2 linked regions of the Lepisosteus oculatus genome follow. The protein of the gene in region 1 purifies or fractionates together with the protein of each later gene. This does not show direct contact. Links are inferred from orthologs where the notes say so. Each region holds a gene or a part of one and is shown in the gene's direction. Other genes may lie near its edges.

Region 1 (5,992 bases):
CCTGAATGCTCCAGTTTCCCCCCAGCACCCAACTTCTCTAAATTGTGTCTTTAGTTTCGGGGACTTCATAGGAGTGACGTTGTTGCCAGTGCAACCAGCACTGTCTATAAAAATTTAAATAGAACCAAATCAGCACAATGTGCTAAATCCTCTCCTCCTATATGTTACATTTCTGATGTTTGGATTGCATCATCTATTATCCATCATACAGTAGTCATAACTTCCAGTATGATGCAAGTAGCTCATCATGCGTGTGTTCTGGATGACTGGATAGACCCAAACGTTTAAACTCAAACTGTCATTTTGTGAACAATCCCAGCATTTCACAAGTACATTGAGTGAGTTAATCTGTTGTTTTAATTCGGTTTTAGCACTACAACACCTAAAAGACTTCACAACATTGACCACAGCTCCATAATCAGAATACCGGCAGACATTTACTTGAGATGTCACGGTCTCATGAGCTGAAAACAGTTTTTTAACAGTGAACATTAGATAACAATAAAAAAAACATTCACAGGTATAGTGCTGGCATTGATACAACTATTCAAGACCCCAGACACCTTGTTTTTAAAAACGTTGTATAACAGCAGATTCGCTGTATTTGGTTTCTGTTGTATGACGTTTTGTATGTATGTGACGTTGCATACTTTCACTTTTAACCACTATACACCATAGGTGAGATGAAAATCTTAGGCAGTAGTGCAATAGGATTTAAACCTGAGTTTGCAAGCCTCTTTATAGCAAAACAAAACAAAGTTCAAATGAAGTAAACAGAACATCACACTTAGATGCATGTCTGATAAATTAAACCAATGTTAAACGTTACACAATTCCAAACGCAACTTTCTGTCCCAAACTTTATCTAACATAGCGTGATGTTTAGGTAATCGATCACACCTTGTTATGAATGGCTGCAGCTTTTGCATTAACCTCATTTTGTGCCTTCTCTTCGTTTGCTTCTTTGGCGTATTTGGCACTTGCTTGTTCAGACAACGAAGAGAGACTTTCTGTGTCCGCAGTCTCAACTTCTCTGTTCAAAGATTGACATCCACAGCTTCGACCTGCCGAATTAGAAGAAGAAAGCTGTTCCGCTCTCGTTGTCGCTGATCTCTCTTCGTCTGCTCCATTGGCGTGAGATGCAAAGAAAATATTTATTGAGAAAAAAACAAAGGCGGAGAAGGCTAACATCGTTACAACTTCCTCAGTCCTGCAGTCTCAGACTTAATCATTTCTTTGTGCGTGCAGCCATAGTTGTTTAGCGTCACATGACTAGTCAGCTGACTTTTTGTGTCCGTTCAGCATTGTTTTAATCAAAAAAGCAAAGGCATTGAAAAATCAGTTCTATATTTTGGGTTCCTCCCTTACGTGTGAACACAGTATAAAGCGATGTAACACCATTTAAAAAATAAAACACTAAGATGGCAATCTTAGTGCCTGAGGTCCCAGCAAAGTGCTGTTGCTGAAGTTGTCTTCTCACTGAATTCTTCTTCCGACTGAACTTGACAGAAAAACTGAAGCTGCTTACGCGACTTGTAAAACATACTATTAAACTTGGAAAAATTAGGTTTCATATGAAACTAAAGGATTGCCTTGAAGCAGCTTGCATGCTAGTAGTTAAGATTACCCAGTTTAAAATGTAAGATACATTTTTCGATTGGCTGGTTTCGAATACTTCGGAATAATATCGAGGAAGACGCATATATTCAAAATACCAAATAATTTTGTTAATATATGATAGTTTGGTGTAATGTCGGATAATTTTAGTCCGTTTTGCAATTCTGAAATGAACGAAAAGAGCACGATAAAATAAGTTCACTTCTTTCATATAAAACTACATAGACTCTTCAAGTACCTTTACTTTAACTCCTCCTCCACATAATTGGCAGTATGGGATTTGTAGTTATAAATAGTAATTCTTTACTGTCAACTTTCACTTATCAGTTGATCTATGAAACAACATTTCCCATAGTTCACTGCGGATATATAATAATCGGCAAAGAAGTGCAGCTTTGTAGTGCTCATGTGGAGGTAGTGCAGAGCGGAGTGAAGAGGGGAGGTAAAGCGCTTAAAGATCCGCCTCTTTTTTTCTAACGGGAGTTTAAATAACATGGAATTAAAGGAAAACGGGATCTGGAAAATTATCATCCACTAATTAAGGTTGAAGCGTTGCAGCTCCCAAGACCAGCTCTTCCTTGAGCGAAGGTAAAGTTGTATGCATCTCTGCAGTTTTAAAAGGCAAGCATCTTAACCTGTGTTGTTAGTATTTACTTCTCGTTTAAATGTGTTAAATTTACGACGCACCTTTCAGTCGGTGATCTCCAAGCAACCTCAGATCGCTTTCAATGGAGTTGTTACCGTCAACTTCTTAAGGGGTTCGAATGAGTTCTTGATCGTAAAGCACTAATGAATTCAACTCAAGTTCATCCTGTATGGAAGTGATTACGTTTTAGTTTTTTTACGTTGTATCAAAAATAGGCATAGAATTACATTATGGTTAAGTGATAGTAAAAATCAGAGGAATTGTTAAGATTGTATCCTTTTACGCTATGCGTAACGCTCAGGAGAACTGTTATGGCTTTGCTTTAATAACGCAAGTATTTAGTATTCGTATCGTGTTTAAAAAAAACGTTTAGTCCTCTATTTAATAGATAGCATTCGTAACTCTAAAAACTAGCGTTCACCGTCACTATTGGGAATTCTTTGCGTGCAGTAGCTACAGTACCATTTGATTTTGCAGCACAGCACACCCCATTCCCAAGATTCAACGAATAGTGAAAAGTGCATACCACTGGGCACATATACTACTACATTTTCTACTGCAAAGACTCGCATGTCTGTGCTTTTAAGAGCTTCAAAATGAAGGACATGGAATACAAGGCCTCAGGAAATATGATGTGCGTTTTTAAAATTGTAATACCCTGTTATACTTTGTGTCCGTACTGAAGCCGGCGCGGTACCGGTCTTTTTTGTTCGAGTTGTTCTTAACTTTTAGTCGCGTTCCCAGGATAGCTTAATATGTTCAGTGACAGAATATACGACAGAAAAGAGATTGGGTTATTTGTAATCATTAGCCATTGTGAGTAAAAATCATGTTAAAACTTTTCTGGTGGTTTCATAATATTAAAAATATGACGGAAGGAAGCAGCGTCTATCCGAAGAAGTAACATACCTATACTCCGAACTTGTTGGCTGACCTGACATCATGTGTTTTGCAGAATAAATCCGCTTTTCTGCTTTAAAAGGCATTTTAAGTTTTGTGGACATTATAGGACGTTTATGGGTTCTAGTTAGTAGCCATACAAAAATTCGGAAAAGTGGCTTTGTAATATGAATGTGTTGTAAGCTGCTTTAAAACTGATGTATAATATTTTGAATGAAGTATAGTATTGGAAGATATGATTCATTGTCATTCCCAGCCTTAACATTCTCAAAATATCATTTTAAATACAGTGTTTTGATGATAATAGCTTTAAGTAAGGAGGAGGATAATGACATTACTAAATAAATATGAATGCCCAAATTCATTGTTTTTGTGTCATTGGGAAATTAGTGAACTGTGGTATTTTGATTTCTTTTTTCAAATTTGTAATGCGCCTAGTTTTGTAAATGGTTGGCTCTTGTTTGAAAATTGAACGACGCAATCAGATTAATTTGATAGACAAAACATTCACTGTGTCGCTGATGTACTATAGTATATTGAGCAGTCTTGGTCATAGCCTTCAACACAGGTAAATTATATATGTGTTCTTTTGTGTGTTCTTCAATGACCTTTTGGCTAAAAAAGAAATGGAGAAAACAAAAAGTGTCAGAAACAAAGCAAACAATCAATGAATAAACGACATCAAAACATTCCCAGCATTAATGTCTGCTGAAACCAGTTTGATATTTTTAAACGGACAATTCAATTTCTTTGAGTAGCTCCCCAGTAACTAGTGATGCATAAGTGGACTGACCTCTGTATACTGCGACACAGTTCTTTTTTAGAGCACCGAATGCTCTATTCAGTGTCTTCTAATTAAGTCACTTGTTGCATTTATGTCCAACACTGTATAGCGATTGTGGCTGCCTTGGTAGAAGTAATGAAAAAACATCTGAGTCTTGAGTGGGTGAGTGGGCTGTCATCTTAGAATCAGGCACAGATCATTTGTTCATTTCTGTGCATTTGGGTACAGATGGGAAAGTATGAAGGCAAAGTGTGTGTTGTTGAATTACTGTGCTTATTTACACTGAGCAATGAAAATAAACTGTTCTAGTCGATCGGTAACGTTTAAATGTGGACACCATTTATGTGAGAATATTTATCAAAGTTTGTGTTCCTGAATGTAAGTTGCTTCTTTTTGTGTTTACAATTAATGGTCGACTTCAATAAGGCCACACACTTTTACAAGAAGTACAATGCTTTCAATTCCTTATCTTGTAGGTTTTAACTTAGGTTTTAAGCAGTTGACAGGTTAGAGGTCCCATATCTGCTCTTCTCTGAATTTTTAAAAACATACTTTCTGTATTTTAATGGTAATAAAACTCTTCCCATCACCTCATGCCACTGCTGAAGTAATCATACTTCTGCCGAAGTATCCATTCTGTAAAATCATGCAGTAGTGTGGCTTCACCAATTTACCTTGGGTAAAGAATAATGTAAAGAATAATGGTAGAGGGAGACATTGATCTTCTAAAAATAAAGCCCTGAATGAATTAGAAGAGACTGATGCAATCAGAATCACTAGCAATCTAGTGCAGGAAGCAGTTTGAATGCTGATGTCTGGTTTTTGTGCAAATGGGTATCAATTAGCTTCCCTCTGCTCTTCCTTGGATTTCAGCAGTTCTCAGTGAGAAAAATTGTGTGTGTGTGGTTTGGTACACTGAAACAGGGTCAAACAGGTTGCTGTTTATGGTTTTACTCTTCTCAGAAATGAGTTCCTGAAATACATTCAGTGCCCTCCAGATGAATTGAGGCGACAGTCAAAACTTCTTATGTACAATCAATAAATCTGCAATCATGACATTGACAGGATCTATTTGTCTAATATGATATTTTATGTTTGGGTGATTTCAAGAATACATATGATGATGGAACAGAAGCATGTTTTGTATTCATCCCAGTGATTTCAAGAGACTCTTCTCTGTCTCATTTAGCAGTCTTCTCTGGCTCAAAACCTTTTGTTTTTGACTGCAGCTGAAACCCTAGGAAGAGCAGAAACGGCTAAGTAATACCATGGCTTTACTGTCCCAACACTTTCAGAGGGTGCTGTATCCAGAATTGCTAGGGAGGCAGACTTGGGGCAGTTTTATACGGTATATCTACAAGTGGTCTTTGGAAGTGAATGGTTTCTGGGCAGTCTGGCCTCTGAGTTCCTGCTGGAGTCTCTGACATTTGTTTTGTTGTATGTGTGTCTTCCCACACACAGTGACTCAAGCCCTGCGATGTACTGTACATCTGTGCTAGGCCTTTGGTCTTTCTGAGCAATATCCATTTCAGATTGCATACAGTCTGCTCTCCAATATGGATTTGTTAATATGAAGGTACAGTGGCTTGTAGTGTATTTGGTTTATTTTATGACACAGGGTCCAGTTCATGTTTTATTTACTTGAAGATTATTTTGAGCTAGTAAACTATAGTCAGACATTGGTGATGTCACTGGGTAATTTAATACATGTAACAACATAAGAAAGGAGAGGAAGCCATCCGACCCATCTTGCCTGTTTGCCAGGCGTTGGCTAATAGATTTCAGTAACACATTGAGCCCCTTTTTTGGAAGAAACCAGAGTGTTGTCTTCATCAATGTGGCTTGTTCCATACTCCCAAAGCCCTTTGTGCCTCTTTTTTCTTGTTTTAAAATACACTTTCTTATGCACCTTATCGTAGTAACAGTGGGGTCCTGACATTTTGTGAGGTTTCAGCGCATAGAACTGTTACGAATAGCCAAATTAGTATATAACCAAGTCCACCCCTATACTGGTGCATAATCTGCTCCAGTGTATAGTATATATG
Region 2 (5,992 bases), on another chromosome or scaffold:
AGGAGGCAGAATAATATGAAATATATACAGAAATAGACACTTCAAAGCCAGAGGAATTCACAATTGTGAAAACTAAAAATTATAAATTTAAAAATTATATTAACTTATTGGATATTTCCATTGTATGTCTTGCCTTTTGATTCTTTAAATTTCTAATAGAATTTAAATTAAAAAGGAACTCAACTTTAAAAGCATGAATAGAGGGAGCAGTATTTGACCATTTACGTTTGTGGATAAAGTATTTTGCCAGAATAATTAACAGATTAATAATAAAATCATATCCTTTATCCAAATCAGATCTAACAAATTATAAAATAATATTGTAGTGCTCTCGGGCTCACGTGAATATGCACCCTCGCCACTGCCACCTCAGGTTGGCCCCCCACTGATGGGGACTTGAACCCAGGCCTCCAGCGTCACTCAACAGGGACCCAGCCAGTTGAGCTTAAGCTAAATCACCCATCAGCTGCGGTCCCTGCTGAGTGATGCCAGAGGCTTGGGTTCGAGTCCCCACCGGTGGGGGGCTGACCTGAGGGAGGAGCAGCGAGGGCGCTACATTGGTGTCAGGAGTGGGATGGGAAAGCCCTTTGCCGAGGACAGCGAATTAAGCGGGGGAGAGTGTAACGCATACGGCCGACATTGCAGGTTGTGCGAGCCGGCTTTCCAGCGCCGTGACATCACCGCAGCTGCCAGGCTGATGGGAGACTTCCCTGTGGAGTGACGCCAGAGGCCTGGGTTCGAGTCCCCAGCGGTGGGGGGCCGACCTGCGGCGGCAGTGGCGAGGGCGCATACCCACGTGAACCCGAGAGCGTTACAATATCAAAATCTTTCAATTTAACATTTACCTTTACATGTTGAGCAATAACATTTTGCAGATCTATGGGAGAAATCTACTTGTGAAACTGACCAATTTGCGATGCTAGCAAAAAGTATTATATTACAGGGATAGCCACCCCTAGCCCGGGAGAGTCAGAATCCATCAGGTCTGGTAGGTCACCTGCAAGTCATCTATTTGTAAAGCCTAAGATATCATGTGAGTTTTGAGCTCTTTAGTAAGTTGGGTCTCCTACAACGCGAATGGCCGGGCCGTGGTGCTTATGAGCTTCCTGCAGTTAGAGTATTTATTTCAAACAATCCATCAATTACTTCTCTGACGACTTGCATAGGTGATGAAAACTAAATTGGGCATGCGTTTAGACATCAGTGAGTTAAGGGTGACCCAGAAAACTTGCTGGAATGTCACAGTACACGCAACCAACATTGTGCGACAGGGGGAGATTATGTGGGGGAGCAATGTTTGGCATTTCCTGCCTTTTTCCTGCTGTTTTTGGTACTTGCGCATATTCCAGTTATCGTTGTACCTCTCTCTGTTCGACTGGCTTGGACTGTTACATTGAGACCCCGTCTCGGGCTGGACAGTGTAGTCCACCAGGTTTTCCGAATAATTTTAAATCCCCCGTGAGTACAAGCAACCTGGACCCTGTTAACACAAACAATATTACTTTGAACTATTGATTTCACACACGTCATCAGCTGTGCAGGCTGTAGTGTACTAGAAAACAGAAGGCACGTCATCCCTCCATCACCAGGACTGAATGTCAGATTCCAAGAGCTTTATTGACATGACCGAAACATTACTGCGTTGCCAAAACAGAAACATTTAGCAGACATCTACAGTAAAAACATGATTGGACACTTGGCATTAATCAATACATAAAATATGCTTTAAGTCGGTAATATCTGTTTCACTCCGCTACTGTAGATGGCAGTCTCTGCACCACAATGTATTTCATTCTACCATAGACATCACAGACCAAATCACTAGAGCGCTTGTATCTTTTCCGGAAGTGGTCGTGCAGGTGATTAATTTCTCTGGAGCGAACGCGAACAGGTAAGGCGATTCGAGATATGTTACTTTAAAGCGGGGGCCGAATTATCTCGACACTGGACTATACAAAGGTGTTTCTGTCTCAAAAATCCCATAGTCGTCAATACCATGTATGTCTGGACTTCATAGTGTGATACATTTCTTAAACACAGATGGACTTAATTAACTTCAGTTTCGGTTACTCTAACCAACCTTCGAATGTGTTCTTCTGATTATGACTGTCTGCACTATAAAGATAAATGACGTTGCGTTAAGGCTCTGTGTTGGAATAGCAGTTAAAGGAATAACAGGCGTATTTGCTCCTTGTTTGTATCCTGACGCAAGACGTGTAACATCACATCGTATGGGTGACATTATTCAACAGAAGAAGTACAAAAATGTTAGTTAAGGCAGCGGACTGAAAAGGTCATTTACCTTAAATGAATGCAGGCTGTACTGAAATTCGGACAACGGGATTATATCGAACTAGTAACCGCTGAGCAGATAAAATCTCCCTCCTTCTCTCAGGCGAATCCTCTTAATATCAGGAGAAACACGGGGTCATATATCCTATTGTAAGATCCTACACCGGCGAGTTCCGGCTGCAGGTTTGCTCTGAGTGAGCAGCTGTTGGCTTATTTGTTCTAAGATCTTAGGTTACCGGTCAGTGAGTTCCAGGAAATGTGCACATTGAGTCAAAGTTTGAGCGATCCTCGAAGTGTTGTCGAAACCAGTGCTTTCCATGACAAATGTATTGGTTATTTAAATTAATATTATTTCCACCGGGTTATGTAGCCACTGGCCAGCACCTCTCCAAGATGCAATGCAGATTAAGCAATGCTTTGTTTAAAAAGTCTAATATATTACACAGTGTGTAGTGACATAAACCACTATGTAAAACTAGCTGTGCACTATATTGTGGAAAGGAGTTTGAGATGATAACCTCAAATGAAGTTAAAGAAATAAAGGTGCAGAAGAGTTATCTAGAACTTGGAGATCTGCACCTTGACAAATGTGTTAAAAATAACCACAATTCTGCCCACTATGTTGTGGCACTGGAATGCGAAGGTATTTAGATCTATTTTTCTTTACACTTTACACTAAATAGACTGTTCCTGTGAAGAATTTCCTGAAGAAATTTTAAAAAGGGGCTTCAGGAATCAGTGTGTTGATGCTGGAAGAGGTTTTATTACATGGAAACAGCCAGTCACATGAGCACAGTATGACTGACATTCTCAGTTAAGAGTGGGGGCTCCAAGACTTGTTCTTCGGATTACCAATCCACATGATGTTTTTGCATCAGAAGAATCCTGTTTCTCCAAAGTGTACACTTTGTGGGGGGGGGAGTATTTGATGAATAACTAACTAAATAAGAATAATTATTTGGATTGCCTTTGCTTTATGGAGGCGATGTGTGCCGCAGCTTAGAGGGTGTCAGCAGTCCAGTGCCAGCAGCCCTGACATGATGCTGAACTCCCGGTCCTGGGTCGCGTCTGACTTCTGCTTCTTCCCCCCAGGATGACGCAGCTCGGCGCCATCGCCTCCGTCGTCATGGCGATCACCGCCGCTGCCCTGTTCTCCTCTGTGCACAAGATCGAGGAGGGGCACATCGGGGTGTACTACAGGTCAGTGGCCACGGCTCACTTCACTGGTGCCACCGGTGCCCCGTCTGCTCTGCCCGCGGCTCGCGAGCGAGAGTTTTGCATTGCTCAAACGGTGCAAAGTCATGAAATCGGGCTGCAAATGGACGGGGCTGTTAAAATACTTTTCAAGGTGGTTATAGTGACAAGGGCAGCACGGTGGTGCAGTGCTTAGCATTGCTGCCTCACGGCGCTGGTGCCCTGGGTTCAGTTCCTCTGGTGCTATCTGCGTGGAGTTGTTATGTGTTTCCTGTGTTCATGTGGGTTTCCTCCAACAGTCCAGAGACATACTGGTAGGTTAATTGGCATCTGGGAAAATTGGCCCTGGTATGAGTGGTTCTGTGTGTGCCTCGCAATAAACTTGTGTGTCATTGTCAGGGGGTATCAAGCCTTGTGCCTGTTGCTTTCCAGGATAGGCTCCGGCTTCTCCGTGACCCTGTATTGGATACAGTGGTCAGAAAATGGATGGGTTATAGTCACGGCTTTATTTTTCCTCTTTCTCAGTCACTTTCACTGTTTTCCTTGCCTTCTGCAGGGGTGGTGCCCTCTTGACGTCCACCAGTGGTCCTGGGTTCCATCTAATGTTGCCCTTCATCACCTCTTACAAATCCGTGCAGGTGGGTATTCGTGTGAACGTTTGCCTTTGTAACTCTGTACTTTTTTTTTTAAGTGTTGAATACAAATAGAGCGTTTGTATCTATCCATACATAGAACTGTAGAATCTGCATGAAATTGGAATGAAGGCAGTTTTTCCAAGTTTGAGTTCAAGATCTTTAACCTTTTGCTTTTGTTTCGCTTGTGGCCACACTAACAACTGTTTTTGCCACGTCAAATGAATCCCTCAGTTCTATCCGAAATTCATAAAATGTCAAAGTTTCTTGTAACTATTTGTAGAAATGTCTTTTTTTTTCCATAATGTTAAGCGGCAGGAGATGAATCTTTTTTTTTCCTAAATGAATCAAGTGGTGACAGACTGGAAGATTTCCTTTTGCAAGCTTTTAGAACTGTATACGGTATGGGAATTTTACAAAGGCATCATTGAGCTAAAACAAAGTTCAGTTTATTGGAGATCCACCTGTGATTACTAAATACAGAAAGTGTGTAACAGATCACATGGTTGGATTGATCCCATGAAATTAAACTATCTCACTCAACAGCCCTTTTCTTATAAGATCAGTATTGAAGCTACATAGTTATAGTGCATTGATGTTTTTGCTTTCTGCACTGTTTGGTTCATTCTTGTTCTTTATTCTGCAGACGACATTACAAACAGATGAGGTTAAAAACGTCCCTTGTGGAACAAGGTGAGATATTGATGGGTTTTCTTGCTTGCCTTTATTTGAATAATACTGATTATAACTCGAATAGTTCAGATTACCACTAGTGCTAATATTACTGTTCTTTCACAGTGGTTTGGCAGCGTTGAACAATCTTGATAATGAGTTTTCACTGGCTTATCTTTTACCACACGAGGAAATGGCCTCCTCCTGCTTCCAACTGTTATTGTGTTCTTCAGCACCTGTATATTTACTCTATATCTGTATCTTGATTTCTGATCTGTACAAGTTACACCTGCAAATATTAAAGATATACTCCTATTACAACACGGGTATAGACTACAACTGAAGTGAGAACAGATTTGTTTCCTCACTCCGGTTTCTATGATCTCTTGGCAGTGGCGGTGTTATGATCTACTTTGACAGGATAGAGGTGGTCAACTTTCTCATCCCTTCAGCAGGTAATTCCCTTACCTACAGGGGCACACCCATTATTAACATGGTTACAGGGTCCTTTAATCATGCACGTTTATCACATCTCCATCTGTCAGTCATTAGAAGGCTGCTTGTTCTTGTTATAGTCTCTAATTGGTGTTGCTGTAAGGTGGGATCACACCTCGGATGGTATGCTAGTCTCAACACACAGCCAGCATGTTATTAAAAAGATGAGAGGAAACTGGCACATCTGGAGAAAACCCATGTGAGCATGCATGAATCTGAGTCTCTCTCCCACTCTCTTTGTCTCTACCTGGAGTATACGATATTGTGAGGAACTTCACTGCAGACTATGACAAGGCCCTGATCTTCAACAAGATTCATCACGAGCTGAACCAGTTCTGCAGTGTGCACACCCTCCAAGAAGTCTACATTGAGCTCTTTGGTGAGAAATGCACTCCCTCTGCTGTACTGTGATCTCCTCATTGCTTCTGATAATTGTGCTGTGGCTCCTACTGTATAAGTGCAGTGGGACACTTTGTGCAAAAAAAAAATAATTACGTGGTGAGGAAAAAACTCTCAACATTGGAAATACTCCTAAATTAATAGGAAACTAATTTAAAATGGTCTAGAAGATGCTCTGTGTTTGCTTAATATTAACAGAGTTAGGCTGTTTTTCCTGAAAAGTGAATGATGTTCTCAGTTTTCCACTGAAACAGCTGAAAAATACTGCTTAATCCCAACCCAGTGCATTTCATGAAAACTGACACCAG

What was found. The genes of interacting proteins can lie anywhere in the genome.
Region 2: the proteins of itpr1b (region 1) and erlin2 purify together in Homo sapiens (affinity purification with western blotting, with the first as the bait; 4 studies listed by BioGRID). This does not show direct contact. The link is inferred for Lepisosteus oculatus from reciprocal best matches to the Homo sapiens genes ITPR1 and ERLIN2.

Annotation. Positions count from the first base shown.
Region 1 is NC_090699.1:54,884,624-54,890,615, reverse strand, and holds the start of itpr1b (inositol 1,4,5-trisphosphate-gated calcium channel ITPR1), read left to right. Parts: upstream 1-2,014; 5' UTR 2,015-2,238; intron 2,239-5,992. Other genes in the region: sumf1 (formylglycine-generating enzyme), read right to left, coding at 901-1,191. UniProt on the Homo sapiens protein: Inositol 1,4,5-trisphosphate-gated calcium channel that, upon inositol 1,4,5-trisphosphate binding, mediates calcium release from the endoplasmic reticulum (ER).
Region 2 is NC_090697.1:68,754,950-68,760,941, reverse strand, and holds the start of erlin2 (erlin-2), read left to right. Parts: upstream 1-1,820; 5' UTR 1,821-1,891; intron 1,892-3,384; 5' UTR 3,385-3,385; coding exon 3,386-3,492; intron 3,493-4,042; coding exon 4,043-4,124; intron 4,125-4,764; coding exon 4,765-4,811; intron 4,812-5,183; coding exon 5,184-5,246; intron 5,247-5,536; coding exon 5,537-5,664; intron 5,665-5,992. UniProt on the Homo sapiens protein: Component of the ERLIN1/ERLIN2 complex which mediates the endoplasmic reticulum-associated degradation (ERAD) of inositol 1,4,5-trisphosphate receptors (IP3Rs) such as ITPR1.